Linked DNA regions of Ovis aries. The protein of the gene in region 7 purifies or fractionates together with the protein of the main gene of each other region. This does not show direct contact. Links are inferred from orthologs where the notes say so. Each region holds a gene or a part of one and is shown on either strand. Other genes may lie near its edges. The genes, in order: KDM5B, ARID4A, E2F4, KDM5A, TFDP2, E2F3 and RB1.

Region 1 (4,037 bases), on a different chromosome or scaffold from region 7:
ACCCCCAGCTAGATTCTGTGAACACATGAGCACATTCTAACCTGCAATGTCACATCCTCTGTACACTGACGACTTAATAGGGTGCCAGCTGCCCTTGGTTTCAGCCTTCGTCGCCCTGGCTTAGCAAGATCCTAAAGCCCTAGACAGCAAGGGAGGGATCTGCCTTCTCCAAGGACCTTTGGGTTTATTTTAGAGCTTTCTGAAGAGGAGGCTTCTCCCCTCCGCGGCCTTTTGGAGGAAGGATCCTCAAGGATAAGACTTTCCTTCAGGTGAATATAACATCAGGGTTAGGACTCGGTTGACACCTACCTACTAAGGAGGCCCTGGCGAACAGTCCTTCGTGGGTTTGGCTCCTTTCTCGAGGAAAGAGCTCTTTTTAGGGTTGAAGTTCTACTTTTTGAATTCCCTCTCTTCCCTTTTCTGGGGCAGGACATTATCCTCCCCACACCAACCCCAGATGTGTCAAAAGTGTTATCATCTCTTAGTGAACTTCTTTGTGCCTTTATTGTCTGCTCTGCAAAATGGGGACAATAGCAGGGACTCCCGCGCGGGATGAAGCGCAGATGCAAGCAGCTAACATACCATTGTCCACACCCGCCGTCTTGTTGCTCAAGGAACACTCTTCCCTGCAACACCCTACCTTCCGGTTAGGTGGTGTCTCCACCACTTGTTGACCTATATGCAACTTGGGCAAATCAACTTGCGCCTCGCTGGGTTTATGTGTAAATGGAAACGAGTACCTGCCTCGTAGGGTTGTTGTGTATATTAAAAATTCATCATGAGAGCACGTGCAAAGGCCTAGTACAGAGTGCTAGTTTCTCAGCCTCCTGTTGTTTTCTCACCTCTGCGCTGTTGTCACGTTCGAGCTGACCCCTCCACCTGGAAAAGCCGCCTCCGGCCCCGACACCCCACGGCCCCAGGGGTCTGGCCAAATGTCTGCGGACTTCCACCAGGGCGCCTCCCACGCGGCGGGGCGGGACAGAGGGTCCACCCGTGAGCCCAGCCTCTCCCCCAGACCCGTAACTTCCTGAGGGAGGGAGGGGACTCTGGCACGCAGTCAACGGTCAGTGGAGGCCAGCTGGGCTGAACCGTGAGGCCGCGATCCGTGCCCGGGGGCGGGCGCTCGGCGCGGGCTGGGTGGGGATGGGGGTGGGGTGGGACTCCTTTTCCTCGCCGTGGCGGCGGAGGCGCACGGCGTGGCTGGGGCGGCGCGGCGTCGTCGGTCGGTGTCGGAGTCAGAGTCGGAGTCGGAGTCTGAGCAGCCGGATCTGAGTCTGAGGAGGAGGAGGAGGAGGAAGGCCGAGGCGTCGGAGGAGGCCGAGGCCGGCCACCCAGCCGCGTCCGCGGCGCCGCGAGGATGGAGGCCCCCGGCCCGCGCCCCGTGCCGGCCCTCGGCGGCCCCGGCCCACTGGGGGAGTTCCTGCCGCCGCCCGAGTGCCCGGTCTTCGAGCCCAGCTGGGAGGAGTTCGCCGATCCCTTCGCCTTCATCCACAAGATACGGCCCATAGCCGAGCAGACCGGGATCTGCAAGGTGCGGCCGCCGCCGGTGAGTCTCGAGCGGGGCGCGCGGCCGGCGGGGGTCCGGGCGGCCGGGCCTCGGCGCGGGGCGCGGGCCGCGGGGGCGGCGGACGGAGCGCGGCCGGGCCGGGGTGCGGATCCGGACCGAGAGGCGGGGGCGCCGGCACCGGGGTCGCGGCCGTGCGCCGACCCGCGCGGGCGGAGGGCGGCCGGGCGGCCGGGCGGCGGGCGGGCGCGGAGGCCCCCGGGCGCGGGGGCCGCGGGTGCGGGGCGCCGGGGGTGCGGGGTGCGCGCCCCGCGAGTTGTCGCGAGGAGGAAAGTTTTCAATATGGCGGCGGAGCCCCTGGTCCTTTGTGTGGAGGCGGCGGCGGTCCGGGCGGCCTCACCTGGCGCCCCACCCTCCGGCCCCGGCCCCCCGCCCCGCTCCGGACCCCCGGCAGGTCCTCGGGGCCGGGGGCGAGCCGGGGCGGCGGCGCCGTGCGCGGGCCCCGCGGGCCGGGCCGAGGGGGCGTGAGCGTGGGCCTCGGGGGGCGGCCGCCCCGAAGCTCTGCGCGACCCCCCGGCCCGCCGGGCCCCCGGCCCGGGAGCCGTCCGCGGCGCGCGGTGTCGCCCCGGAGGCCGAGGCCGGCCCGCGCGCAGCCCCCGGCCGGGGTGGGCGTGCGGGGGGTGTTCCCGAGACCGGCCCCAACGGCCGCAACGGCCGCCGCCCCGCCCCGCCCCGCCCCCGCCGCGGCCCCGCGGCGCCCACCTTGGCGGCCGTTGGCCCGAGCCCAACTGCCTCGGGAGGGTCTGCGGGGCCGGGCCGCCGCTCCGCCCCCGCCCCCGGGTGCAGCCCCCCGCCCCCGCCCCGCGCTCGCCCTTTGTGGTGACGTTGGAGCTGCGGGGCTCGCGCGGAGCCGCGGCGCCCGGCCGCCCCCGCCGCCCCCGGCGCCCCCGGGGCGCAGCGCGGACTGGGACCCTGGAGTGTGTCTCGGAGTAGTCGGAAACGGAGGTGAAATGCCCACCTCCGAAAATAGCTGGTCCGCTGGTGCGGGGGCGATGCTTGGAAATCGGTGCCTCTCGCTGCAGGAGTGGACACGGTCGCTCGCCGTTGCCGAGGGGAAGTGCGCGTCGGCTGGGGCCGGAGGCCTGCAGAAGTTGTGCGGGATCGGGGCCCGGGCTTGGTTCGGGAAGAGGAGGGCGGGCGCGGACAGGTGGCCGTGGAGCTTGGTGTCGTGCGTTAGGGACGCAGACTGTGGAGAGTGCTTTGCCTCAGTGGGGTCTCCTCTGGAACTAGGCAACCTGAGGAAGTTCTCGGCAGCCCAAATGCGTGCAGTCGCCTCCTGGGAGTGAGGTGTCCTCCATGTTGGTATTGTGGTGCAAACCCTTTATCCACTCTCTCATCCCGTGCCTTTTGGGAGGCTCTTTTCCTAAAAAGGTAGTGTTGCTCTGCCTAGGTTTGGCTACTCATTTCCTCATCTTGGCCAGAATACCAGTTGTAAGCCCTGCAAAACGTGTGATCTGTCTGTCTGTCCCCATTCTCAGTGTCTGACAGACGTGATGGCCACCATTTTGTGTTGAGAGAGGTGCATCCCGCAGCCCGAGACGGGGGTGAGGGAGGCGCAGATAAGCGCTCCACAAACATGACCAGTGCTGTGCTTTGGAGACCTCCTTTGTGTGGAGGAGGCTTGCTTCCTCCTTTGTTTAAGAAACTCCTGTGCCAACTGGAAAGAGTTTGGAAGTATTCACTGTGGATACAACCACAAAAAGAGAAACCTTTCCAGAAGCTGTAGCTCTTGAAGGAGGGTCTTGTTGGAACAAAGGCTTCCTAAGAGAAGAGGATGTAAGCAATGGTTGTTTTAGAAACCGTTTTCTGTGAAAAAGTGGTTTCATATAGTTGAAATAAACCAACAACAAACCAAGAGATAGGAAATGTTTTCCACGGTGATAGCTATATATGCTATAATGCTTGTGTGTCTAGATGATTGTGGCCACTGAGTTTCTGGAATATAAGTGACTGTTAAAATGAGGATTGGGTTTATTGGTATTTTACTTTTCAAAGTAAGGGGAAGAATTACAAAGTATTTCTATTTCTTTTTGTCCTTAACCTTTGCATCTTTAATTAATGGTACTTAAGGTAGCTTCAGTTTATAGCTGCTCCTCAGTGATGGTCCTAAACTACTTGGCTGTTGAAAACTTGAGGTTCACAGAAACTTGTTTGAAATATAGTAAGATAAATGTGATAAAAGGTAATAAATCAAAAAGACATTACTCAAATCCTGAGTTATGAGTTTAAAGATGGAAGTCAACCGTTTTTCAAATTACATCAAGTGTCTGGCTTTTTGGATTTCTTTCTTCAGTTTACAAGTAATCTGCCTTTTGGTTTTATCCTTATAATGGAAATTTTCATTTCCTCCTTGATGTACTTAGATTTCTTTTTAAGGACAAATTGTATTTTCCATGTCATTTTGTGGTATTTGGAGGTAATTAATTTTAGGGTGGTAATTATTAGGCAAAATCTAATAGGCTGGTCAGTGAAT
Region 2 (4,108 bases), on a different chromosome or scaffold from region 7:
GAGTTTTCTGAAACAGAGTACAAGATCTTGCTCATGGAGCAAAATCAATAGCTGCTCTAACAAAGTCCTATCGAGGAGGTTCTTTCATTTAATGTTTTCAGTCCCCGCAAATCCACTGCTCTTTCCTTTCGAAAAGCAGCGTGAGCCCCGTGCACTCTGGCACTCCCATTTGTCTATGGTTAGAGCAGCAGAGTCGTGCTAACAAGGGAATTCGAATTTCTCAGCACCCAAACTCAGCGTTTCCTTCTGTCTCCTCATTGCTTAACCGCGTGAGGAGCACGCGGAAACACCTTCCCACGGAGGATGGGACCAAGAACCCTCCCCTCTCCATCTTAACTGGTGAGGAACCTTCTTCAGTCGGTGGCTTTGGTCGCAGAACATGACAAGCTGCCGAAACCACTTCCAAAGGGAGGACGCACTGCTCTGAGATGAGCAGAATCCCGAAAATCCCTCACCCTCCCGAGAGGAGCCCAAACGGTCAGCCCGGAGAAGGAGACGTGCACGTCCCCTCCGCCCCTTTCTCTGAGGCCGCGGGAGACGAAGCCTCGCCCCCTCTTAGCCCGTCCCCCGCCCCCGCCCGCGACCAGCTCCCCACCCCGGCGCAGGGAGATCTCTGCTATGGCCGCCGCGCGGCCCCCTCACTTCCGGTGCCGGTGCCGCTAGAGCTGCGCCATCCCCCAGTCTACCGGACAACCACCGCTTTCAACTGACCTTTCTGAGAGATCCGGACTCTTCCGACCTTCACTAGGTGCTGTCCTGGAGGAACCGGCGGATGGTTGCCGCAGTTAAATGAATTCACGGGATATAGATTCCGCTCTCCTCTCACCAGAAACATAAAATGCGATACAGCTGCGGCCACCTCTGCCCAGACAAAATGGCGCCGAGAAGCTGGTTCAGCGCAGGCGCCTTGGAAAGACCCTGCCCCGCCCCCGTGTAAGTCCTGGCCGCAGCTCCGGGTTCGGTTTCCATGGGACACTCCACCGCCAATCCTCGTGCCGCACTGCTCTTCCTGACCCCTCAATTGACCAATCAGTGCTCAGTCGAGCACATCCGTAGTCGTATTTACCAATCATTTTTCAGGACTTGCTTACTCAATACCTGATTCTCCAGTAACGTTAGTCTTCGGAGACAGCCAATCATAAGTGGAAAATGTCCTACCTGCTGTTTTTCGCACCAATCGGTGAAGTTTCAGAGCTACATCCAATGAGGACGGCAGGTAGCGAACTCCAATCCGAAACTCTTCGGCGTCATGAGCAGCCAATAGGAGTTCGTGTAGAAGCGAGTCTGCTCAACAGCTTGTTATTTGGTGGATTGTGGCAGTAAATCGGGCGAGTGGGGAACCCGGCGCAGGAACTGCCGCCGCGGCCGGGAGTGGTGCTTCCCGGACGGGGGCCCACGGGGGTCAGCGGGGCGGAGGACTCGGGAGCTGACAGCGAGCACTTCACCCACAGTTGGTAGGTGAGAAGAAGGGAAGCGAGGGTACTGAGTGGACGAAGCGGCACTAGCAGCTGGCGCTGCTGCCCGGGGTCCCGGTGCAGTTGGAAGCTTAGGAGGTGGGGAGGGGGATGCTTGGCAAGCGGGGCGGTGAGCTCCGGTGAAGGGGCTAGTCGTGGAGCAGCGGCAGCAACTGCAAGAACAGCCTCCGCAGCAACCTCCTCGGCCGCTTCCCCAGGTTCCCCGGGAAAATGGCTGTGGGGCTGGTCGCGCCGCTAAGTTTGCTTCCGCGAGGCGAGGAGCGGACTGATTAGGGAAGCCGGCCCCCAACTCCGCGGTGCGTCCTCCCGGGTGGAGTCCGTGGCAGGACCCGAGGGGCTGGTGGCTGGTACCGCTCTGGGCTGTACAAAAAGTTGAGGCGGGCGCGGGGAGGAGGCGGCGGCTGCCGCTGTGCAGCTCCCCTCCCCTCCCACACCCTGTCCGGGCCACCTCCCCTCCTCCTCTCCGCCCCCCCCTCCTCCCAGCTCGCTCTCCCTCGCGGGTCTGCCCTCCCTCGCGCGCCTCCAGGCTGAAGGCCACGGCCCCTGCCCCATTGGGTGAAGAAGCGCTTCTCCTTCCTGACATGGTGCAGAGCGGAGGAAGGAGAGCAATGGCGCCGTGACACTCCGCTGCCGCCACCGCGGGCCCGGGGCGGGCCGAGGGGGCCGAGCGGCGGAGGCGGGGCGCGGGCCGAAGTCGGGGTATCCGGGGGGCGGCCGAGAGAAGGCTGGGCGGCCGTGCCTGCGAGGAGCCCGGAGAAGCCCAAACGGCGCTCTGCCCTTCTCCGGAGCAACCCGTCCGGGGGCACTGAGTTGAGCATTCCGGGTCAAAGTGGCTAGCGAGGCGGGGGCGCGGTGGGCCGCTGGCGAACTCCGCGGTGGAACCCGCTGCCCTTTGGCGCCGGTGGGGTTCTCGCCGCTCTCTAGGCTCCTGCGTCCTGGCTGCCCTCGGAGGGGATCTTACCCCTTCCCTGGTAAGGGTTCTGCCCCTCCCCGCTGGCGTTTGTTTACTTTCTTTACCGGGGTCGCTCCCCTCCGTTGACTGATTCTGTGCCTGTCTTTCTCCTCCCCTTGGTTATAGCGACGGAGAAGATAGCTCGTTGAGCTGGAACCCCACAGATCGCCAGTGAAAATGAAGGTAAGTGGAGTCGACGCTGCTCGGAACCTCGTGCCCTGAACACTGTCTGTCGTGAGGCTGGTGCTGTGGAATGTCATTTTTTTGGCTACTCAAAATTGATTCCTCTACTAAGCAGAGCTTTCTGAAAATGAGGACGTGTTGAATGGGTAAGAGATGATCATTGTGTCTAAATGCGGTCAGTTTGGCCCCTCTCCGAAGCAGTTAGCACTTTGGACAGGCTGCTGCAGCCTTCCCATTGTTGTCCAGTGGGCTAGTATTTTTAAACACTTCCTGTGTTGGCAGCACCCTTTGCAGAAGTAAAGCTTTTGTCCTGCTTTGGTTCTTTGGGGGATTTTTTGAATTTTTTTTCTTCCCCAGTGCCAGTGAGATTTTCTAAAGAAGGAATGTGTGTATTGTGTTAGGGACATATCATTTCTTCTGGGGATAAAGTGAAATTTTGTGGCTGGAATATACTTGAAGGTGAAGGAAAACTAAATTTTGTATATTATTATCATAACTAATAGCACTTAATTTCAGTTCAGTCCTTACAGTAAATATTTTAAACATATACCCAACCTAAAAAAAATTCTTCTGAAGACAGCTGATATTGCAGACATCCTGTGATGTTTAAAGGGAAAGGAAGGTATATCAACCTGTAGTTCTGAGGTGTTGAATATTTGCAAAAAGTATTTCTCATCAATTTGCATTATTCATAAATGCACTAACTTTAAATTTGATTTCTTACTCATTTACTGTTTCAGTGTATTGAGCTCTGAAATACAGTATTTTCCCAAACTTCCTCTCGCTTTCCTATCTCCTTGAAGTTTTGAAGTGACAGTGTACCTTCTTTAATGTTAGTTGGGAAAATAGAATGAAAAATCATTTTCTGCTTGAAAGTATTTCTCTAAACTGTACACTGTCACCGTTGCACTTAGCAATGTTGAATTGAATTTGTATACATATACTTAACTTTTGAAAAAAGTTGGTAAAGTGACAGACTGAGATAGCAATTATTCCGTTACTATCAAGATTAAAATGAATGGAGAAATAATATTTCACATCTTTCAGTGTATCATTCTGATCATGACCATTTGCTGAAAGCAGGTATTTCTTTCTGAAACTTAAAAAAATATATACCAAGATTAGTGTAATAAACTTGGTACTACTACCATCAATTCACATCTCTGCATTAATCAGATAATTTAGACTTGAAGCTCTAAAATGCAGCACTTAGCCAATGGTTTTTCTAAATAATGCTCTCTTTGTCAAAAATATTGGCTTCATTAATTATCTATACTGTTACAGTGTATCCAAAATGTTGCCTTTATGTAACTATATTAAACATTTAATTATGTACTAGTTAGTATTAATTTTAATAGCATATTTCTTTTAATTTGAAAATAAAATTTTCAGGAGGCCATAAGTGAATAACTTAAAATTCTATGAGACAATATAAATAGACTTTTTTGAATTTTAAAATTTTTTCATTTCTTAAATATATTGTAAAATTGTTGAATCA
Region 3 (4,034 bases), on a different chromosome or scaffold from region 7:
AACTCTCAGTATTTCATCTCGTCACACAGAAACATTGCTTCTTGGGTCCCCGAAGTCCCTCATTACCACATACCCCTTGTGTCTCACCTGTAATCTCAGCTGCTGGACCAGCCACCCCCTGGGCCTCGGTGCTGCTGGGGACAGGGTTGGGGGTGGTTGCCTGGGGACTGCTCGGGCGTGAGGCATCCTGGGGCTGGGCCAGGGCAGGCTTGGGCAGAAGCGGAGGGGTAGAGACAGCAGGCGGGCTCTGGAGCAGGTCTTCGGGTGGGGGCACAGGAACCGCCACAGGTGGTGAGCTCCATGCCTCCTTGTTCACCAGAAGCACCTCAATGGGGCCACTTACACTCTTCAGGTGAATCTGGTACTTCTTCTGCCCATTGAGGCCCTGAATGTGGGGGTGGAGGACAGGTGGAATTGGAAGCAGATTTGGCTCCTGCCTGACCCTGGGCCAGGGCCAGTATCCTCTCCCACCCTGGGCTGCCCGTTCCCCTAGATAACTTCAAACCCTAGGCCTCCCCTTACCTGCCCCACCCGGGACTTATCGGGCTCCACAGCCAGCACCCGCCCTCAATCCACCCCACCCGGCTGGGCTGAGCACCCACCTCTGGGATGGGCACCTCCAGGCTGGTGCCCGACGGGGCCCGGATGGCAAGGAGAGTGTCTCCTAGGATGACAAAGACGATGGATCAAGGCCCATGGGCTCAATTTGAACTGGGAATGGGGTGCCTATCCCTCAGAACAAGGAAGGACGTCATAGTCCCGGAGGGGGCGGACAGTAGGCTTCACTCACTCCCTATTGAGGCTGGGGGAGAAAACTAAAGCTTTTTCTCTCCTAAGAACCCAAAGGTCAGTAACCAGAAAATCTGGGTTCAGATATGTGGAGCAAGAGATTAGTGGCCATGGGCACCTCATTCAATTGATGGGGCTGCTCCCTAGGCAAAGATGTTCTGGCCAAGGCCAACAGCTCTTCCCCAGAACCAGCCTGGGAGATGCAAGATGGACGAGGAAGAGTTCCTGTACCTACAGTGCAACTAAACTACAGGTTGGAAGTGGGTACCACTGCCCCCTGCACACAAGCATATACAAACAGGCACACACACTTTCTCCCCTCGTATGCTTCTGTCACACCTGAGAAGCCAAACCTAGGGGGCGATGCAGGTGGTGGCTGACCCAGAGACCCAGTCCAGGCTTCCTGTACCCTCTCAGCATGGTGAGCCTCCATAGGGTCCCAGAGATCCTCAAATCTAGGCCTTACCCTGTCTGGTTCTTCTTTGAGCAGGCCCCAGGAACCCTCTTAAGAGACGGAAATCTCTCAAGCACCGAGTCCACTGCTCAGGGCTGTGGCTCAGCCCAGTCCCACCCCCATTTCCCCCTACCCAGGCTCTGCTCACCAGCAAAGCATCTGCAGATGTCCTCATGAGTCACGTAGGCCAAGGTGTGGGGGTTAAGGAGAATGGCTGATGCCCTGCCTATGGTGACAGATAACTGACACAGCGAAGACCCAGCTTTGCAGCAGAGGTCTGACATACATGCTCACAAAGAGAAGCCCTGAGGCCTGGGGTCTACATGGGGGAGGGATCACAGGCCAAGACTGTGGGTGGAGAGGCTCCGAGGAGGGAACCGGAGGCTGAAACCTGGCCAGGAGCTGGAGGACCATCCTCCCAAGTGGGACAGAGACTAGGGGACACAGAGCACACCCAGCTGGACTAGAGGGCCCATCGCCCACTCCCCGGGAGCCAGGACCGCCGATAAGAGGATATCAGCTGTTCTGCACGTCCTCTGTGACGTTCCGGATGCTCTGCTGCACCCACACCTTGTGCTGGTCTAGTTCTTGCTCCCGCTGCTGCAGCTCCTCGATCTCTGCCTTGAGCTCAATCAGCTTGTCCGCAATCTCCCGGGTATTGCAGCCAGGACCCACACCCCTGAATCCAGGAAGGAGAGCTAAGAGGGACTGCCTGGCACTCTGGGTCCTACAGCCCCTGTTCTCTCTGCCACCCTCCACCCCACACTCCTGACACTTCTGGGTAGGAGATACCATTGCCGACCCCGGTGCCCCCACTCACTTCCACTGGATGCTATTCTTGGATTTTTTCTCAATCAACCCGATACCTTCCAGCACGTTAGTAATGTCATATATCCGCCGCTTCTGGCGCACAGCTAGGGTGTCAGCTGCCTGGCAAGGAGAAGAGAATGGAAAATGCTCAGTCCCACTCTCACGGGGGACTCGGTCTGGAGTAGTCTGGAAAGGGGGTGGCCTGAATTCTAGCCCTCCTCCCCAGGCACTACAGCAGCTCAGGACTGTGGGGCGGGAAGAGGCCAGACGAAGCCTGAGCTGATGTTCCGATGCTCTTTTCCCCACACCTGCTGGAAAGGGCCACGAGGACTACCACCCGCAGCCTCAAGCTTGCCACAAAGCTGACATCCGATGAACAGCCTTAGCCGAATGAATGAAACAGCTCCCGGCCTCCCGCTTGTGAGAAGCACATGTATGGCGGCCTGCTCTGAGGGCTCAGCTGGGCCGCCCCGGGGGTTCCCTCTACCGGCTCAGGCCTGGTCCACCATCCCCCTGTCGTCCCTTAGCCCGGGCCGCACCAGCTTGAGGTCAAGCACACCGTCCTTGGCTTCCTGCAGAAGCGACACGAACTTGGTAGTGAGAAGTCCCAAGCTCTTCTCGTGCCGGCTTGGGGTGCCTGGGGGCGGCGGCGCCTGTGGCCCGGCCTCCGCCATCGCGCCCGCCCGCCGCCTCCCCTCAGCCAGGCCAGGCCAGGCCGGCGCCGCCGCCACTTCCGCTTCCGTTCCTGGCTGCTCGGCCGCCGGCGCCAGCCTCGCTACTTCCGCTTCCGCTTCGTTCCCTTCCAGGGAGTCCGTCACAATTCCTCTCAGCAGACATGGCCGAAAAACTTGAGGGACCATCATCAAATGTCCAACCGCCGAAGAGGACGAAAATAACCCCAGGATCCCGGAAGACAGATGTGGTCGAGGAAGCATGTGGAGGAAGTCGTTGGGTAGCCTCAGGAGCAGTAAGGAGGAATCACTGGAACCTTCCTGGCTGGCAAACCTGACCCAACTCGACTAACTGTGCCCCAACCCTCATCTCAGGAGAGGAGACCCTGCTGCCTGATGAACCCAATGTGTTTTCCCAAACCTGCTCCTAAAAGACTGCCCCACTCTCTTGGGATCACCTACCCTCCTTATTCCTGTCCTTCAGTTCCTGCCAAACAGCAAGCACTAACTACATCTAGCTTATTCACCTGTCTGCATCCCCACTTTCTTCCCCTGATCCCAGCCTCGCCTTTCTCTTGTCTCCACACTACAGTGCTCAGAGGCCATGGGATTAAAACCACTTTTCAACCGATGCAAACATATTTACCCATGTGTAAATATATGTAAAGCCCTTAGAGCAGTTTCTGGCATGTGGAAGGATTATGTGTTTGCTAGTATCATTTTGTTATTTTTAACACTATCATTTATTATAGTTTATTTTAGGTCAAGTTCTTTGGAAAACAGTCTTTGAGAAAGAGATGTGCCAGCAGGAAGTTTACTGAGAAGCCACACTTGTAAGGAAATAAGACAGGCCAAACAGGGCAGAGAGGAGAATTAAACTGTGAGGAAGTTAAAATGGAGGGCTCTGTCCTTCTAGGAGCACTGAAACTGGGGTACCCCTTCCAAGGCCTACCTGGCCCTTATACCCTAACACTGACCAAGAGACTCAGATCTGAGACCTCATTAGCCTACATTTCGGGCAGCTAGGGGAATGAGTGTCTTTGTCCTGAAGGGTGGATTTGGGTGGTAGCCAGTGTCCACAGCATTATTACTACCTAGTAGTCAGTTCCACTGGAGGAGGGCATGGCAACTCACTCCAGTATTCTTGCCTAGAAAACCCCATGGAGAGAGGAGCCTGATGGGCTCCAGTCCATAGAGTGGCACAGAGACACGACTGAAGCAGCTAAGCAGCAGCACCAGTCCCTTTCATGGCTCCTTTTATCTCCAAGACAAACAAGCTTTCATAGCTCTTCCACCCCTCTCTGCCATCT
Region 4 (4,228 bases), on a different chromosome or scaffold from region 7:
TGGAAGTAACTCCTACCCTTTGATATTGAGGTAACAAGTTTTCATTATATATAACACAGCTTCTATTCAGATGTCATCAGTCTTGAGCTCTTCTCTGGTCACCCTATCCCCATTTAACACCCTTTCACACTCTCCCTTCACTACTTTTTAAGGCTTATGGCCACTGAGAATAGTATATTTATTTGCTAGTACTCATGATTTTGTTTCCCTCCGTCAGAATGTAAGTGCTCTGTGAGGGGACATACTTTGCTTTGTTGTTCATTGTCCATAGATTCAGCATTTAGAAGATCGCCCCAAGCAGATTCTCAGTAACTTGCTGAACGCAAGAACCCACGTGTAACATTTCTCTCCCCCGCCCCTGCCCCTGTGCGTGTCCCCTAGTTAAACAGTGCTCTGCTTCTTGCATTCTAGCTCTATCAATGCGTTACCACCAATTCACATGCCCCAGGGTCCTTCTCAATCCACCTCTCTCTCGCAAACTCCTCAACATCAGATTATGCGTAGTGAGGGAGGAGGAGTTAAGGATTATTTCTAGATTTCTGGCTCAGGTCAAATGAGTAGATGAATGAAGTCATCCATGGAAACTGGAAATACTGAAAAAAAAAAAAAAACAAAACAACCCAGTGGGGAACTATGAGTTCATGGTTTACCAGAGTGGAGTTGTCTGGTAGGTAGATAGATATATTGATTTGTGGCCTAGGAGAGGAATCCAGGCTGGAAGTACAGATTTGAGAGTCATAGCTGCTAATTTAGTTCGTGGGGGAAGTTGAGATTGCCCACGAGGAGCATGAGAACAAGCCCTGGGGGAAGTAAGTCTTCCTTCCAATAGATACAAGAACTGCCTTTTCACGGTTTCTTCTTTAGTCCTTCCTGCGTTACTCTCCACAACTTGCAGGAAGTGGAGATGGACTCTGGCAAAGAATGTTTGACAAGCAGGGCCGGAACAGCTGGTGTAGTTGTTACAGAAAACAGAGACAGGCTTACGGCGCATGGCTGCCAGAGAGCGACTGCTGTTGAGAAGCTGTGGGGGTTGTCAATGATTCGAAAAGTCAACAGCCGTTGCTTCTCTGTGGACGAAAATCAATTCCTGGATGGTGGCGAGGGCCGGCCGGTGAGAGATATGCTGGGATGGCTGAACCTGAAACTGTTGCCATGGAGATGGGGCGGATTAAAAGTGACCGAGTGGGATGAGAAAGGGACAGTAACAATGAAAGGACTAAAAAAACCAGACGCTGTTATCTAGAAACAGGTGGACACGGAAGTTGAAACAGGCAGCCGGGCGAAGACAGGCAGCTTGTGTTCCAGTCCGTACGTACACAAAGAAGGGCCCAGCTCAGCTTTCCGGAAGCAGAACCTCTGTCCCCGGCGCATTACGCGTCCTCCGCGCCGGAAGAGCGCCCCGTGAGGCCGGCCGCTCCCCTACCGCCCAGTAGGAGGGGCCGCAGGGCTGTGCCGCCGGGAGTCGTGGACAGCGCGGAACTTCGACACACAGGGAACTCAGGAGCGAGCCGAGCTACCGGGAGAGGGAAGGGGAAGGAAGGTCGCCCAGGAGAGCGTCGTTGCGGAGGAATCCTGTTTTCTGGCGGCGGAGGGATTTGGCCGCACGCTGACTTCCGGCGAGCGTCGACCGGAGAGGGGGGAGAAAATCCTGAAGGAAACAATAACAAACGCCAGAGGAAGCGGGGTCGGTCTGCGAGTGTGGAGCGGGTCTCTTCCTGAGAAGATGAGCTTCGGCCCCTGTCAGGGGACGTGAGCGCGACCGGTGGGGCCGCAGCCCAGCTCTTCTCCGCCCGCCCCGCGGACCCCGGTACCGCCATGGCGGGCGTGGGGCCGGGGGGCTACGCGGCGGAGTTCGTGCCGCCCCCAGAGTGCCCGGTGTTTGAGCCCAGCTGGGAGGAGTTCACAGATCCCCTCAGCTTCATCGGCCGCATCCGGCCCATGGCGGAGAAAACCGGCATCTGCAAAATCCGACCTCCCAAGGTACCGGAGTCCCGACCGCCTCAGCGCGGCCTTCCGGTCCGCTGTGCTTTCACGTTCGCTCGCCCTGGTCTGTCGACACCTGGACGCTGAGTTTATCTGTTTCCGTTTTGGTTTCTTTGGGGTTTTAATGTCGGCTGGTCCGAAGGCGAGAGAGGGATGTCCCCGGGGCCCCTCCGCCCAGAACTTGGGAACTGATACTCTCCTTCCCGTCTTGGGTTGTGGGCAAGGATAACAAAGGCTTTCGGCCTTTCGTTGGCCTGTAAGGTGATGGAAGCGTTGTGACGCGACAGCCCGACCCGCGGGTGTGTGTGTGTGTGTGTGTGTAGTGTACACTCGTTTCTGTACGACAGGAAAAGCTATGGTTCCGACGGCTGCTGCTTTCTCCTAGTCCTGTTGACGCTTAATTGATTAAGTGTTCGCGGGCCTCATCTCAGGCTAAGGTTTCTTTCCTCAGTGGTAATCTGAGTTCTTAGGCCCTTGGGATGGTATCACCAAACAAGAACCCCAGACTGATTACAGCTGGAATGAGAAGTCTTCCCGGGGAAAGAGAAGGCGCAGCGTTTATTGTAAAAATTCGGAGGTTTAGAAAGAATTGATCCATAACGGAGGTGGAAGAAAACGTTGAAATCTTAAAAGATATAAAGAGTCGCAACTATTGGCAGATAGCTGGGTTTGCCCATAGGTTGGTTACGATCCTCAGTCTTTCCGGTGAGGAAAGCTGATACTGTGCCTTGTTTTGTGGGGCTCAGTGCCCCAAGAGGTTGAGGATTTGGTCAAGGTCGGAAGGTTTCTTTTCCCTCTGCCCGTTAGGTCCAGTGCTTTCCAACGGGTGTTTCTAATCCACTTGCCCCAGGGGCACCCGAATGTTCGTTAAAATGCAGATCTCTAGGCCCCATTCCCAGTCTAGAACCAGTTTCTGGATATGGAAGTTCTAGAATTTGCATTTCTAGCAGGTACTCTCAGTGCTTGTGAATGTCTGTGAGCCATGCCCAAGTGCTTCTTAAAGTGATACCTTGCTTTACGTTTTGTCTCCTAGTAATTAAAATTTTGTCCTTTTACATGTTGTATTTTTAAAAGCTTCGGCTTTTACTACCACAGAAGCATGCAGCGCAGTGAATAAAAAGAGGTTACCTGAGAGGGAGGAGAAGGAGCAGCTACCATAGCACTTACAGATTTTTTTAATAGCCTTTGAAGCCCTCCTAAGTAAATAAGGTCTCATTTTACAGATGAGGCGAGTCTGGATAAGTTAAATAACTTATCAGATGTGTGATCTTGGGCAAAGTAAATTTTTCTATCTGGATCACTCAGTTTGATTCTAAAACCCAGACAAGCTACTTCTCTTGTGCTCAGTCAGTTTGGTTAAGATTATTGACCATCACTCAAGCAAAAGATTAACAAGTAACTGCTGTGATGAATGATGGTATGTGTATTGCCATCCTCCCAGAACTTCACTTTTATGAAAAATTTATTTTCACTTAATCCTTTGTTTTTCATGATTACCTCAATGACAAAACCTTAAGCACTGAAGCTTTTCCTGAACCATATTTACTCTGTTGTCTTCATGAATTAGAAATTCTATTCAAGGTTCCTTTTGGTTTAAAAAAAATTCACTACTTTTTGTTACTTAAAAAAAATTGAAATAGTATATCTTTGTGTCACATTATTATTATTGAAAATAAATGTTTAAAAGCAGAATTTAATTTCAGTATTGGTGGATTTCTTTAGTTTCCAAGATAAGATAATTTTTTCTTATTTATATAAGATAATTTTTTAAAAACTTCTTTTCACATTTTAAAGCAGATTTAGTGTTATTTAGACCAAGTCAAACTATGGTCTCTAGAACTCTACTTGAAATGTGCTATCTCATTTTAGTTATACCACGTCTCCAATCTGGAAATTGTCCTTGTTTTGTGGGTTTGCTTACTTTTTTTTAAATTTTCATTTTTTAAAAAAAATTTGGTTGCCCAGAAGCTGGGCTTTGAAGAGAACATTTACGTAACGTAGACTTTTAAAGTGCTGTGTCACATTCCACATGAATGAAAAAACACATTGTCCAATTACATAAGTACTTTTAAAACGTTATTTTTTGGTCTTCAATTTTACTCTTTTCATTTCTTTCAAATTCTGTTTTCTTTTTAATTTGATAAACTTGGATTATTCGATGCTGTATGGAGATGAGCTGATTGCATTCCAGTTGAGTAATTGGGGAAAGCATAATTTTGCAGTATAAATAATGGAAGTGGGAGAT
Region 5 (4,268 bases), on a different chromosome or scaffold from region 7:
TGGTTTACAATCCAGCTCTCCTGCTAGACTGAGCTCTTTGAGGATGGAGGTTTCATCTGTTTTGCTTATTTTTGTATCTTTGTCCCTAGAGTGTTTGAAAAGTATTTAAGTTGAAATCTCAACAAAATTTCTGTGGAAACTACATCTATTGATCCATTACTGAAAAATGCAAGGTAATGACTCCTTTGGGGCTTTTGCATTTTAGAATCAGTTCAAGGAGACTTCATTGGGCTTTCTTGACCGCCTAGGACTTTATCTATGTACAATTATGCAGAAATTATCTCACCACCGCTCCACCCCAGAGAAAGGTCCAAAGGTGCATTCTCACCTCCCCCACTTCCTTTAGGTATTTATTTAAATGGCACTTTCCTGCTACCTTGACTGAGCACTCTAAGACAGGCCATCCCTTAAAGCCATTCCTGGTCTACTAGATTTGTTCTCCACAGCGTGTCGCAACATGTAACATAGCTTATATTTTGCTTATTTCTTTTGCCTATTATCTTTACCACCCCACTAAAATGTAAGTGAAGTGAAATGAAAGTCGCTCAGTCTCGTCTGCCTCTTTGCCACCCCATCGGTTACACAGTCCGTGGAGTTCTCCAGGCTAGAATACTGGAGTGGGTAGCCTTTCCCTTCGCCAGAGGATCTTCCCAACCCAGGGATTGAACCCAGGTCTCCCGCGGTGGAGGCGGATTCTTTACTAACCGAGCCACAGGGGAAGCCCACTAAAATGTAAACTCACACATGATTTTTCAGATAGGCACAGAATGTATTATTAACATTGAACTAAATAGACAGGTATTTGAGGGTGGGAGCTGCAATTTTCTTTTCAGCGTCCATGTGACATGATGACCTGGTCAGGTTTGGATCTTACTTGCCGGGTTGTTGAAAATCTCACACCCTAGCAGTCTTTAACCCACTGTCTGAATAATTTACAGGGTACTGCAAACTTGGCCCCACACGTGGCCTCATCACTCGTCCCCTTGCCCCTCTAGGCTGCTCCCCCAGAGGTGACTGATCAAATGACTGGGAACCGAGATGTGCCTGGGAACTAGGGACGCCCGTTTTCCTTTTTCTAAGAAAGATCGGGGTTTTCTTGCAAGGGGCCGGGGGGATGGGGGCGGATGGAAAAGTCAAGATTCCCACCCAGGCCGGGGGAAGGGGGAGAGGGTGTGGCTATAATTTTAGGCCTCAGGCCTGTAGCCTGCTCCGGAGGCGGCTGGGAAGCACGCGGCAGGACCGTTGTAGGCGATCCACTGAGAACCTCCAGTGGATTATCCGGGTACCCCGCAGAGTGCTTGAGACCCCGCTCCTCCACCTCGGGGGCCCCCTCCTCTCTTTGGGAAGCCTGGAGGCGGGGTTTGTTTACTCCGTGCACGCACCGCCAGCCTGGCCAATCCGTGAGGAGAGGCGCCGTACGTCATTCACCCAGAGGGCCAATCGGCGCTCACCGTGCTGCTCCGCCGCCAAAGCTTGCGCGGGGGAAGCGGGGCCGCGGCTAGGCCGGGCGAGGGCGGACGGAGCCGCCGAAGATTTCAGCTGCAGCCGCTGCCGCTGCTCGGTTCTCGAGGCGCGCCCTAACCCTTCCTCCTTGGGCAGGCTCGAAGGCGCGCGCGCGCGGTCGGCGTCCCGGGGCTTAGAACTCCAGGGCCTCTACTAGGCAGGCCGCGGATCGCCCACCCTTCCCCGAGTGTGAGTCCGCCTGGGACCCGGGCGCCGCCAAGCGCGGGCGCCACTGTAGCAGAGGGGCCTGAAGACGCGCTCCAAGCTCGAAGAACAGTCCTGCGCGGCCGCCTTGTCCCCTGCAGCCAAGCGGTGGTAAGGTCCAGGGCGCGGGCGCGGGCTCCGTGCGGCGGGCCTCTGTACCCGGCCCGGCGTGTTCTTGGGCAGGTTTCCCTCCCTGCCCCTCCGGGCCCCCTGGTCACTCTGGGTCCCATCTGTTTATTCCCACGCAATCTTCCAGGCCCGGCCGAGTAACCCTTGAGTGCCTGGGGAAGGGAGTGGGAAACCCGAGACTACCCCCCACCCCCAACACACAGCAAATTGCGGGGAGGCACTGTCCTTGAGTCACGCCTGCTGGAAGAGAGGAAGGGCTGCTTTCTACTTTTTCGGTATCTTTAGGGCAGAAGAATGGCTTCTAAGTCTGACTTTTCCGACTTCTCCTTTCATGACCCACATGCCTCCATCTGTCTCTACCAGGTGTATTTCAGAGTTCCAAAGCCTCGTGCGCTTGGAAGAGCCTTGCAACCTCCACAGGGGAACTTTCCTCTAAAGTAGGGGATCACTTTTGGGCCCAGACTCTGAGAAATTCCATAGATTTAAGGTTCCTTTCCATAGAAAAGTGTAAGATTTTTGTAGGATCTCGCAGGGAGAAGTGCAGCTAAGATGAACTCCCAGTCTCTGGTACCAGCTTGTGTTCCCGGGCGTTGTGTGGTTCAGTTTCTTCATCTGTAATAGTAACCCTCTATTGGGGGTGGTGCCAGGAGGAAATGGAGTAATTGGTGGAACTATTTGGAACGAAGTTCGCGTCCTACGAAGTGCCCTGCCCTGCATGAGTTAGGCATTGAATTGACCACCCTGAATGATGGTTTAGAAAAGTTCCCCCTATTGTTTTTGTTTTTTCCTGTTGAGACAGTTTCATCCCTTTCCGTATTCACTGCTAAAGCTCCCTTTGAGCCTTTGAATTCTTTTTCTTCCTCATTTTGTCTCAGAGGGCTCAGACTCCCTGTCCCACTTCTTTGCTCTCTTTTTAGTAAGTCAGTAGCTCATTCCCTTCCTTCCCCTTTCTCTCCCAAATCTTTGTGTGTTTTTTCCACTTGAGTTCTATAGCCTGATTTTTTTTTCTGGGCCACTTTTCTCATAATGGCTTGAAATCATCTTTACCTAATAGATACAGTTTAGGTTATTCATCTGTTCTTTATGCAGTGTAATCATGAGCCTACTGTACAAAATTAAATAGAAACTAATTTAGTTGATCTGTTATTGCATGTTGCTTTTCCATTTCATTGGTTGGCCTGCCATTTAGCTAAAGTTTTATCGCTATCCTGTTACTGTAATAAATCTTTAATGGCCGCGGCCATTCTTAAGTAGCACTGGGAGAAAAATCAAATGTCTAGACCCCAGATTCTATCACACTTGTGCGCTGGCGCTTGCTGCATGTTATTTATTAGAACATCTTGTGCCTGGAACTAGAGCCTAGTCTCATGGCAGACATGGTGTCTGTAGCCCTGTCCTGGCAGTACAGTTGCAGTTTCAGCAGTATGGTGCTTATATTTAATAAAGGCCCAAGACTTACTAAACTCTTGTTTTTGAGTTCTCATTATGTGTGGTTGGTTAATTAGGAGAGAAAACAGAATTTTCAAGTGTGTCATACTTAATGTTACCATTTTGTGATCATGTACCTTTCCCACCAACTCTTGGCAATGGTGACGGCCAGCTGGCACTTTCAAGTTTTTTTCCTTGCAGCCAAAATTCTTAACTGTCTGAGCTATGTCCTCTCAATGCAGCTTGAAATTGGATGTACAGATCGATTTATCCTTAATGTGGAAAGTGTTTGTGGATGAAAATTATTCACTGAAACACAACCTGAAGGATTCAAAGAGTAGAGTATGGTAAAAAACAGATTAAGCCCAAATTAAGTTCATGGCATAGGTTAGAACCTGGTATTCTAACTTCTAGTCCTTTGTTTTCTTAGTTTGTCAACCTTAACAGTTAACTGGCACTGAAAGATGAAAAGATTAAGGCTTGAAAGTAGAAGGAGGCACTTTGTAATTTGGGCATTAAATATTAGATATGAGTAGTACCTTAGTATCTTATTTTTTTATCTTTAAACTTAGGTATGTTTCTTTTAAAGATTAAGTAATAAGCCATTATTACTGATAGATCTTGTAGTCAGTTTACATTGTCTCTTGGCAAACGATTTCACTTTTTTTCTGAACTCAGCACCATATTTTAAGCTCTTATTGCAATGTATCTTAGAAGAAACTAGAAAGCATAGAGTTCAGAGTTTTGAATCATAGAATTTGAAGTTGTGATGAATTTTCTAGATTAAATATATTTACCTCTTATACTTGAATTCTTTCCATTTTAATCTGGGGTATATGATTCTAGGGATAGGACATAAATAGATTTAAAAGTAGATTTGTAAGCCCTTGAAAACTTTATACAAAATTATATGTATTTGGATATTTTCTGGAGAGAAGGTTCATAGGTTCTGAGGTAAAGATATTTGGACAACTTTAACTTCTAAGAAATGATTTCTTTTATTG
Region 6 (4,298 bases), on a different chromosome or scaffold from region 7:
GATTAGGTTTATGATATAGGGGCAGAACTGAGTAGGGGGCATATATGTTTGAAATACATCCAAGCGTGTTTAGGTAAAGTCAGTAATAGTGTTTAATGTTAGTAAAAGAGTGGCATATTTCTGTGACTGAGAATCCGGCACAGTGGATACTGTATGTGTGAGCAGGTCCTATACTCTTTTCCCCCCTGCTGGCAGACCCTAGTCACTAAACGCGATGAGAGCTCCTTTGACTGAGAAGGTATCACACATCCCTAGCAAGTATCTCCGGGGCTGAAAGCACTAAAGACCCAACTCGAGGAGAAATTGAGAAAAGTCAGGAAATAATATATTTCATTCTTCCCAGACCCATCTCTTGCCCCCGAAGTGCTGCCTGGGTGCTGCCGCTCTTAAAGATCTCTGCAGAATCTTGAGTCTTCCCAAATTTCAGCCCATTCGGAGCCGAGACAAGGTGAGGTCAACGACGGGTACGACCAACCCACCATTTATCTAAACTGGGTCTGGTTCGTTTCTAGCCTCGTGGGGGCCAAGCCTCACCACGAGGGAGAAGACTGGAGGCATGGAGGAAGGGAATGCAGGAGAGAAAAGGAGAAAGGGGGAAGACCTCCCGGCCACACTTCTTTCTAGTATCAACAAAAAAAGAAGCCGCATACTGACCTAAATCATCTCTCAAAGGCGCTTTATAAATTACAGGGACAAAGGGAGGGGGTGGCGGGTGGCCTGGGAATCCTACAGACACCCTACCCTCTGACCCGCCCCCCTCCCCCTCCAGCACAAGGGAAGGAAGACAGAAAACAGAGCTCAACTCGGCCATCGGCGAGAAGCCCCCCTCCGATCGCCCATCCCTCGGCCCCCCTAGGAAAAAATCCACGTAAACGCCATACCCACCCCCTGGGGCGGACACTCCTGCCCCCTGGGTTCCTAGAACCGGAGGCCGGGGCATTTACTTAGTTACATTTTTCTTGCTTACTCATTTCCCTCGAGCACCCAACCCCCCGTTCCCACTCCAAAACCCCGCTCAACCGCCTACCCTCACGGCTCCAGCCCCCCAACAGAATCCTGTGCCCCCGCGGCGGCGGCGGCCCCCCGAGCCGTCCCGGTCACTAACCTGCTGCTGTAAGGGCATTTCCGAAACCAGCCTGGCTCCGGGGGGGAGGTGGGGGGTGCCGGCTGGAGAGGGGGCCCGGAGGGCCGAGCGGACCGGCGGCGCCGGGCGAGGGCGGGCGCCCGTGGAGGGGGGGGGGGTGCCGGGGAGAGGAGAGGGAGGGTGGCCGCGCCGGGGGCGGGTGCGAGGGCGCCGGGACGGTCCCAGGCCAGGGAGCCGGCGAGCAGGAGGAAGTGGGTGCCCCCTCTCCCCCTCCAGCGCCCCCTCCCGCCGCCGCCGCCGCCTCCTCCCCAGTCACAGGCGCGTCCTCCGCGCACGTGTGCGAAACGTCACCGGCGGGTCCCGGGGAGAGGGACAGACCCAGGCGGCGGGACGGGAACACGGCTGCCCCCGCCCTCCGTCGCCGGGGGGCGGAGAGGGGGACAGGGCGGGGGGAAGGAAGGGGCAAGGGGAGAGGCGGGTCAAGGGCAGGCCCGGGGCCCGGCGAGGAAGGCCCGGGCGCTCGGGCCACGCGGGCGCCGCCGCGGCCACCGCCGGGATGCGCCCAGGCCGGGGCCGCCAGCCCGCGAGCCCCTCACCCCCTAGACAGCCCACGCCCGCGCCCGCACCCGGCTCCCTGCTCCACCGCCCGCCTCCACTCCCCCCAGCCCCTTTGTTGCCGGGAGTTAACAGATCCCCAAATGTGTCGAAGCGCAACCTGGCAGAGCCCCTGCACTCCGAGCACGCCTTAGGGACCCCCGGCTGCCAACGGGCCTCGGAGGCCGGAAGGGGGGGCCATCACCCCCAGGGCCCCCACCTCGGTTTCCACCCCCCGGAGTCACCCACTCCCCAGTTCCCTACTCCCTCCTCCACCCCCTTCTCCATCCGGGGCGTGACCCCTTCCTACGCCCGAGAAAGAGGAAGCTTCGAGTTGGAGGGGAGGGGAGAGTGGGGGTAGGGAAAAGTGCAGGAAAAGAAGAGGGGGGGCCGCGAAAAGTTTCGGAGTTTTTGATGTGGTTCGCGCCAAGGCGATCCCCGCCGCCCCGCGCTCGCGGCGGAGCCCCCCGACCCTCCGGGTGCTGGTGGGGGTCAACACACGAGTCTTTAACAATAAACCCTCGTTGGAGGGGCAGCCGCCGAGGCCCGAGACGCTCGGCCCCGCACTCCCCACCAAGGGCGGCCCGCAGCGCGCCCACCACCCCGCGCAATGCGAGCCCACCTCCCGCCCGGGCTGAGGACGGTGGGGACGGGAGGGCATTTACCGGAGGGCCGCCGCCGCCGCTGCCGCCGCGTCCCAGCGCTGGTGGCTGCTGCAGCAGCCCGGCTCTGCCGGAGGGTCCGTGCGGCGTGGTGTAGATGAGGCTGCCAGCGGTCTGCTCCACGCCGGGGGCACTGGGGAGGAGGGGGCCAGCGGCGACGGCGCCGCTTTGGAGGGAGGAGGAACAGGAGGTGGTGGAAGTGTTCGTGGTGAGGATCTGGATGTACGCGCTCGGGGCGGCGGCGGCGGCGGGGAAGCCGGGGCTGGCTAGCAGTGCCCTTTTGTCCATGGAGGCTGCAGCGGCCGCGGCGACGACAGCCGCCCCCTCCCCACCCCCGGCGGTCACCAGGTACTGCTCCAGGGCGGGCTGGATCCCCTTTCTCATCTCTCGCTCCTGCTCTTTTTATTGCTATGGTAATATTAACGTATTGTTTGCAATTTCTTTTATTATTTGCAGTCGGAGTTTCCAAGTCTCTCCTTCTCTCCTCCCCGCCCGGCGCTTCCGAGCCCCTTCTCTCTCTTTTCTTTTTATTTTTCCGCACCGCACGGGCCCCGGGGGCCAAAAATAATCGGGGCCCTGGAGAGAGGAGGGTCCCGGCCGCACGGATATCGGGCCCCGAGGGGGGATGGAGGCGTCGGGGGCGGCCGATGCAATGGATTGCGAGGCGGCGGCGGCTGCCCGAGTGCTGCGGCCGGCAGCTGAAAAATGGCTCCAGGAAGCTGCTGCTGACAATGAATGAAGGGATACGGTTTACGCGCCAAGGTCCTCCCGCGAAACTCAGATTTCCCGCCGGCTTTTCAAACCATATTTGCATGTCCCCGCCCCTCAACCCGCCGAGGACCGTTCCCACAGCCCATTGGGCCTCTGTCTCATTCCTTCCGTCCCAATCGTGGAGCAGGGCCGCGACTTGCCGGTTTCAATTGGCTGCCGCGCATCATGGTTGTCGGGGCGACAGGGTTCTTATTTGCATAGGCTTCCTTGATTGGCTGGGGCGGAGTGTGGGTTTTAGGCGGTGGGGGGTAAAGTCTGCCTTCTCTCCCACGGAAGACCACGCCTTGTACAGACTCCTCCCCCGTCCCCGCCCTCCAGCCGGGCGGGCGCTGCTGACCTGGGCAGGGACTCCGCGCCCCGCAGACTCAGTGTGGATTTAACCTAGAGCGCAAGTTTCGCTTTTGGAAATTGTCAAGGTGACCAAGGGGACACTTTTCGGGGACTCGCTTTCGTTTGACCAGTAACCGTAATAGGTGAACGACAGCGAGAGATTCTCCCAAGTGTGCGCCAAAGGCAAGTTGGACCTTGCAAATGACGCCTGGCAGGTGGAAACTGAGCCCTTTAAATCGTGGGTTTCCCCCTTCCTGAAATCCAACCAATGCGGCAAGAGCTGATCCCGAGGCCGAGGCTGACAGACAGAAGCATGTGGGCAGACAGAATCGTGGGGGCAGAAGGTTCGACTGACGTGGTTGCGGGCACCATTTAGTAACCATTCCAGATCATTTCTGGTAGTTTCATTATTAGCCTGATGGGATTTAAGTAAAAATTAACTCCGAATGTTTTGCCAAGTGAAATCTTATAACGAATTTTGAGTTCAGCAGACACCTCCAACGCCTCCTCACCCTCTGGCCCAGAAGCACCCAGGGCAGTTAATCTGGGCTAACCTAGGACTGATCGGCGGGTTTCTAATCCGCCAAACGGTAATCCGAAGAAGTACATGCTTCCCACGATGACGTCTTGCTCCAAACAAACGCTGCACGCCTGGCACCAGCACTTTACAATTTTGGTTTCCTAGCAAGTTCTCTGACAGGACGACCTAAACTTATTCCAAAATATTTTCAAAGAATTTTTTAAAGTAAACTAGACATTGCCACCAGAAAAATATTAAATTATTGTCAAACTGACTTTTGTGCTGCTGCAAGTATTCATGGATTTTAAAATTGAAGATTGCGCCTTTGAGACTAAGC
Region 7 (4,261 bases):
TAAGTACAAGAGCTAAAACTGGGAAAGTTGGGTTGGTTAACAGCAAGAGGAAAGCAATAGATAATATTACAAAACCAATTCAATATCATTAACTTTTGCTAAAATGCAGTCTACCCTTCACAGTGTTTTATTTAATCTACTTACTAGTAGTTCTTAGATGATGATTAAATTCAAGCTTTCTTTCTGATTTTCCTTAACCAAGACAGGCAGACAAAAAACTCTTCTTGGCTAATTCTTTTTCAATCAGTTAATGTCTACTTGACCTCTAATAATAATAGTACAAGGAATCGCTAATAATTTTTTAGTATTTATTATGATCCCAGACAAAGTACCTTAGATGAAGGTAGACTGAATCCCCACATCAGCCTATTAGGTAAGTCCTCTTACCCTGTTTTACAGATAAATACCAAATCAGAGAAGTTAAAGCACTCACTTGAAATCACAAACAGTATGTCAGAAACCCTGATAGAAACCCAATAATCTAACTCTATAATCCTTGCCCTTGAGCACTATTCCAGACTGCCAACCCTTCTCTGAAACATAATTAACTTTTGGTTATCTCAAGAATGAAGATGGTGTGCTGTTTCCCTTAAGTAAACTCTCAACTCTCAAAGTAGGCATGGGCTCCATCACTGGAAATGCAATTGGACTGGGCCCTGAACCCACCCCAGGTAAAGTTCTCAGCTTCAGACTGCCAGGCAGTGGTTCTATCTTTGTTAAGTAGTTAACCAGTAGTTTGATAGCCCATAAGGACACATTTTATGGGTAAGGATAGATCAAGAACAGACTTTATCTTGCATGGTTCTGACTTAAAGAATTTGTGATAGTTTCATCATTTAAAGTATATAAAATGAAATGCTGGAAAATAGAAGGAAAAAAGACTTTCTTTTCCCAGGTGCTGGCCAGAACTTCAGTATTTCTGGTTACTCCACAATATTCAAGAATGCTTCCGAGCTCTGTGGATAACACAGGGTTCTTTGCAGTAGACTTCACTGCTCTTACCAAAAGGAAACTGGAAAATACTGGACATATCAGAGTTTAATCAGAAACTAATGTCTTCTCCTAGAACATCCCTGGGCTTTCTTTTTTTTTCCCACTAGTGAGAATGATTTTTAATTGATAAGACAGTCATATATGAATTTCTAATAGCCTTTCACAAGCCATTTCCAAAAGCTTTTCCCAATCTTTAACAATTTGTCCCGAATTCTCTTAGCGCAGGGGAAGGTGAGAGAAATAGGGCCTGCTGATGGGCTAGGACTGTGGGAGGGAGACAGAAAGGAGTCCCATTTCCCTGTAATTGATGTGCAGTCTCAAAGCAGGGCCAACTCTGACAATAATAATGGATAATTATACTCGTTCAATTTTTGGTTCTAACCATAAAGCATCACAATCAAGAAAAATAAGATGTTGCAATACATTATCTTCCTGTCAAAGTTCCACTGCATTATCGTAGACTTGCTTAAAATTTAGAATCCACTTACGAGAAGAAAAATAATTCCACGTGAGCACAAAAACACTCGTTTTGTACTCCAACAAACGAAACAAAACAAAACAAAACAAAAAAAAACAAGGACACCAGGATCCTTGCTGGCTCAAAGCCGAAAGGCAAAATGGAAGAAATAACGAGGCACGCTGAAGCCAACGAAAATACGCAAGAAGAGTTCTAGAAAACAAGAGAAAAGTTCAGGAACTTTTAAGCTCTTGGGCTAAACGTCTCACAATATTTTTGCCCAGGTACGAGTTCTTTCTAAAGAGTTACGTTCCACCAGTCACTACCTATGGCCATGAATCCCCAAGACCGAAAAGCCCCTTCTAAGAGAACGCCACAAGGCGCCTCAGCCGAGCTTCCTGGGGGGTAACCGACACCCAGGACCCTGCCCTTCACGTCCGCGGGCATCTCTGCCGCTGCACCCAAGGCTTTTCTGACTGTCTCTCCCAGGACTGGGCTTCAGATACAGCTGCGCGCCCGGGGGCGGTGGGGGGAGGGGGGCACTTCCAACTGTTGCATCGCTAGAGACCAAAAGAGAAAGTCAAAAGACCACTGGAGGACTACAAATCTCAACGGGGAAAAAAACCTATCCAGCAAACACCAGTTAGTTCTTTTCTTTTTTTCCTCTTTTGCGTGTGATGGGGTCTCGAAACACCCGCCGGATGCGCAGGGCCGTCTCGCGGAGCAAAGGCGGCACCTGTCACTTCGCTCAGCGACCCGAGCCCCACCCGCCCGACACCTGTCAAGCTGGAGCCGAGACCCCCCTCCCGGCCGCCCTTCCCAGGCGGCGCCCGCACCCAGACCCCTGTCAGCTCCCTCCCGGCGCTCCGCCGCGAGGGGTGGTAGAGGGGGGACCGTCCTCCCGCCGGGACCGGCGCCCCGCGGGGACGCGCCCCCGCCTAGACGCCGCGGCTGCCGCCGACGCAGCCTCGGGGCGCCCTCCCCGCTCGCCGCCCGCCGCCGGTGGCTCGGCCCGCTCACCTGGCCAGAGGCAGGTCCTCGGAGCCGCTGTCCTGCTCGGGGTCCTCCTCAGGGGGCGGCGGCGGCGGCGGGGGCTCCGCGGCGGCGGCGGCGGCGGCGGCTGCTCTCCGGGGGGTTTTGGGCGGCATGACGCGCTCGCAGGGCAGGCGCCGGCGGGTGCTGGAGTGGGGCCGGAGAAGGGAGAGGACGCGCGCACCTCGGGCACGCCCCGTCCTCGGCCGACTCCCGTTACAAAAATAATTTGAACGTTCCCCTGAGAAAAAAACCGGGCCGGCCCTCCCCCGCCCGGCAACCGAGCGCCGCGTCCAACCGCGGGAAAACGTCACTTCCGCCCGCGGCGTCACGTCCGCGAGGCTCGCGGGCCCGCCGGCGTCGGGAGGGCACCGGGGTGCTGGGCGAGGCGAGGCGAGGCGCGCGCCGGGCGGGCGGGCAGCCCCGGGCCTGCAACCCAGGCGCCCGCCCGGAGGCAGCGGCCGCCGCCGCCGCCTCAGCCTGCCTCGCCTCGAAACTCGCCCCTGCGGGCGTGGGTGGCCGGGTAAGGGCGCTACCCGGCCCGGTGGGTGCGCGCGGGCTCCCTCGCTATAGCCGGGTGGGTCCGGGGCTGCGGCCGAGGCCCCCGCCGGGGAGTATCGGGCGAGCGCACCCGGGGCGGGCACGCCCCTCTCCTCCGTGGGCGGCGCCCTCCCGCTCGCCCGCGCTCCTCCCGCCCAATCCGTTAAGCGAAGTCAGCCAAAACAAAAACAAACTGCCTCTGGGACACCTATGAGGAGCTGGGTTTTGCCCACTACCAGCGGAGACCAAGTACGGGACGACGAAACTGGCCTTTTGAGAGTTCTTTGAGGGAAGAGGGGTGGGGGCTGCGGGCAAAGAACTGATGACAAGGTGCTGCGCGGTTTTAATAGTAGCGTAAAACCAGGAAGCACCATCGAAACGCCTTAAGGACATCTTCAGAGGAGCAGGGGCATTTGAGTAGAAGTTTGCCAGACGGACTTCACATCTAAGGAGGACTTACTATGTGCACAGGGGATTGTTCTGGCCATTTTATCTCATTATCTTACCGAATCCTCAGAAACAGCCCTTTAAAATGAGTTGTAGTCGTATTACACTTTGGATAGGGAAGACAGGCTCAGAGGAGTTAATTCATTTGCCCAGTACTCCAGTATTCTGGCCTGGAGAATTCCATGGACTGACAGGCTATAGTCCATGGGGTCGCAAAGAATCAGATACGACTGAGTTACTTACACACACACACACACACACACAAACACACACAGCCGATGGGTGGTAGAGGTTTTGAACTGAGATATATGTGACTCTACTTATCCATTAGTGAAGTGAAGTCGCTCAGTCGTGTCCGACTCTTTGCAACCCCATGGACTGTAGCCTACCAGGCTCCTCTGTCCATGGGATTTTCCAGGCAATAGTACTGGAGTGGATTGCCATTTCCTTTTCCAGAGGATCTTCCCAACCCAGGGATCGAACCCAGGGCTCCCGCGTTGTAGACAGACGCTTTACCGTCTGAGCCAATACGTTGTGTTAAAGAAAACACCAAGAAGAGAGAAATAGCATGTGCAAGGCACAAAGACACCAGAAAAGAGTTTGCAGGAATTACTATGGCCAAACATTGACTTAGAAACTGTGTCTCCTGTCTCTTGGTATTTACTTATGCTAATAGATTGCCTAGTTTGAGTATCTGCTTTTGTATCACTGGCAGATGCTGTGGGTTGCCCGCTAGGAGCTTCCCAACTGAGGTGCTATGAATAAAATACAGCTGTGTTCTGACGTGAATTC

The links.
Region 1: the proteins of RB1 (region 7) and KDM5B purify together in Homo sapiens (affinity purification with western blotting; 3 studies listed by BioGRID). This does not show direct contact. The link is inferred for Ovis aries from reciprocal best matches to the Homo sapiens genes RB1 and KDM5B.
Region 2: the proteins of RB1 (region 7) and ARID4A purify together in Homo sapiens (affinity purification with western blotting; 3 studies listed by BioGRID). This does not show direct contact. The link is inferred for Ovis aries from reciprocal best matches to the Homo sapiens genes RB1 and ARID4A.
Region 3: the proteins of RB1 (region 7) and E2F4 purify together in Homo sapiens (affinity purification with western blotting; 10 studies listed by BioGRID and IntAct, with this or other methods). This does not show direct contact. The link is inferred for Ovis aries from reciprocal best matches to the Homo sapiens genes RB1 and E2F4.
Region 4: the proteins of RB1 (region 7) and KDM5A purify together in Homo sapiens (affinity purification with western blotting; 4 studies listed by BioGRID and IntAct, with this or other methods). This does not show direct contact. The link is inferred for Ovis aries from reciprocal best matches to the Homo sapiens genes RB1 and KDM5A.
Region 5: the proteins of RB1 (region 7) and TFDP2 purify together in Homo sapiens (affinity purification with mass spectrometry; 4 studies listed by BioGRID and IntAct, counting the BioPlex papers as one, with this or other methods). This does not show direct contact. The link is inferred for Ovis aries from reciprocal best matches to the Homo sapiens genes RB1 and TFDP2.
Region 6: the proteins of RB1 (region 7) and E2F3 purify together in Homo sapiens (affinity purification with western blotting; 9 studies listed by BioGRID and IntAct, with this or other methods). This does not show direct contact. The link is inferred for Ovis aries from reciprocal best matches to the Homo sapiens genes RB1 and E2F3.

The regions. Positions count from the first base shown.
Region 1 is NC_056065.1:79,352,134-79,356,170, forward strand, and holds the start of KDM5B (lysine-specific demethylase 5B), read left to right. Parts: upstream 1-1,237; 5' UTR 1,238-1,357; coding exon 1,358-1,546; intron 1,547-2,376; exon of another isoform or gene 2,377-4,037. UniProt on the Homo sapiens protein: Histone demethylase that demethylates 'Lys-4' of histone H3, thereby playing a central role in histone code. Does not demethylate histone H3 'Lys-9' or H3 'Lys-27'. Demethylates trimethylated, dimethylated and monomethylated H3 'Lys-4'.
Region 2 is NC_056060.1:68,644,036-68,648,143, forward strand, and holds the start of ARID4A (AT-rich interactive domain-containing protein 4A), read left to right. Parts: upstream 1-1,308; 5' UTR 1,309-1,458; intron 1,459-1,855; exon of another isoform or gene 1,856-2,446; intron 2,447-2,553; 5' UTR 2,554-2,604; coding exon 2,605-2,610; intron 2,611-4,108.
Region 3 is NC_056067.1:34,396,008-34,400,041, reverse strand, and holds the start of E2F4 (transcription factor E2F4), read right to left. Parts: upstream 2,801-4,034; 5' UTR 2,728-2,800; coding exon 2,593-2,727; intron 2,174-2,592; coding exon 2,064-2,173; intron 1,923-2,063; coding exon 1,761-1,922; intron 1,436-1,760; coding exon 1,392-1,435; intron 665-1,391; coding exon 603-664; intron 386-602; coding exon 88-385; intron 1-87. UniProt on the Homo sapiens protein: Transcription activator that binds DNA cooperatively with DP proteins through the E2 recognition site, 5'-TTTC[CG]CGC-3' found in the promoter region of a number of genes whose products are involved in cell cycle regulation or in DNA replication.
Region 4 is NC_056056.1:213,125,843-213,130,070, reverse strand, and holds the start of KDM5A (lysine-specific demethylase 5A), read left to right. Parts: upstream 1-1,428; 5' UTR 1,429-1,815; coding exon 1,816-1,980; intron 1,981-4,228. UniProt on the Homo sapiens protein: Histone demethylase that specifically demethylates 'Lys-4' of histone H3, thereby playing a central role in histone code. Does not demethylate histone H3 'Lys-9', H3 'Lys-27', H3 'Lys-36', H3 'Lys-79' or H4 'Lys-20'.
Region 5 is NC_056054.1:247,417,130-247,421,397, forward strand, and holds the start of TFDP2 (transcription factor Dp-2), read left to right. Parts: upstream 1-1,468; 5' UTR 1,469-1,818; intron 1,819-4,268. UniProt on the Homo sapiens protein: Can stimulate E2F-dependent transcription.
Region 6 is NC_056073.1:36,829,729-36,834,026, forward strand, and holds the start of E2F3 (transcription factor E2F3), read right to left. Parts: upstream 2,801-4,298; 5' UTR 2,725-2,800; coding exon 2,344-2,724; intron 1,455-2,343; exon of another isoform or gene 1,124-1,454; coding exon of another isoform or gene 1,106-1,123; intron 1-1,105. Other genes in the region: uncharacterized protein LOC132658271, read left to right, coding at 2,988-3,491.
Region 7 is NC_056063.1:18,457,889-18,462,149, reverse strand, and holds the start of RB1 (retinoblastoma-associated protein), read right to left. Parts: upstream 2,801-4,261; 5' UTR 2,599-2,800; coding exon 2,471-2,598; intron 1-2,470. UniProt on the Homo sapiens protein: Tumor suppressor that is a key regulator of the G1/S transition of the cell cycle. The hypophosphorylated form binds transcription regulators of the E2F family, preventing transcription of E2F-responsive genes.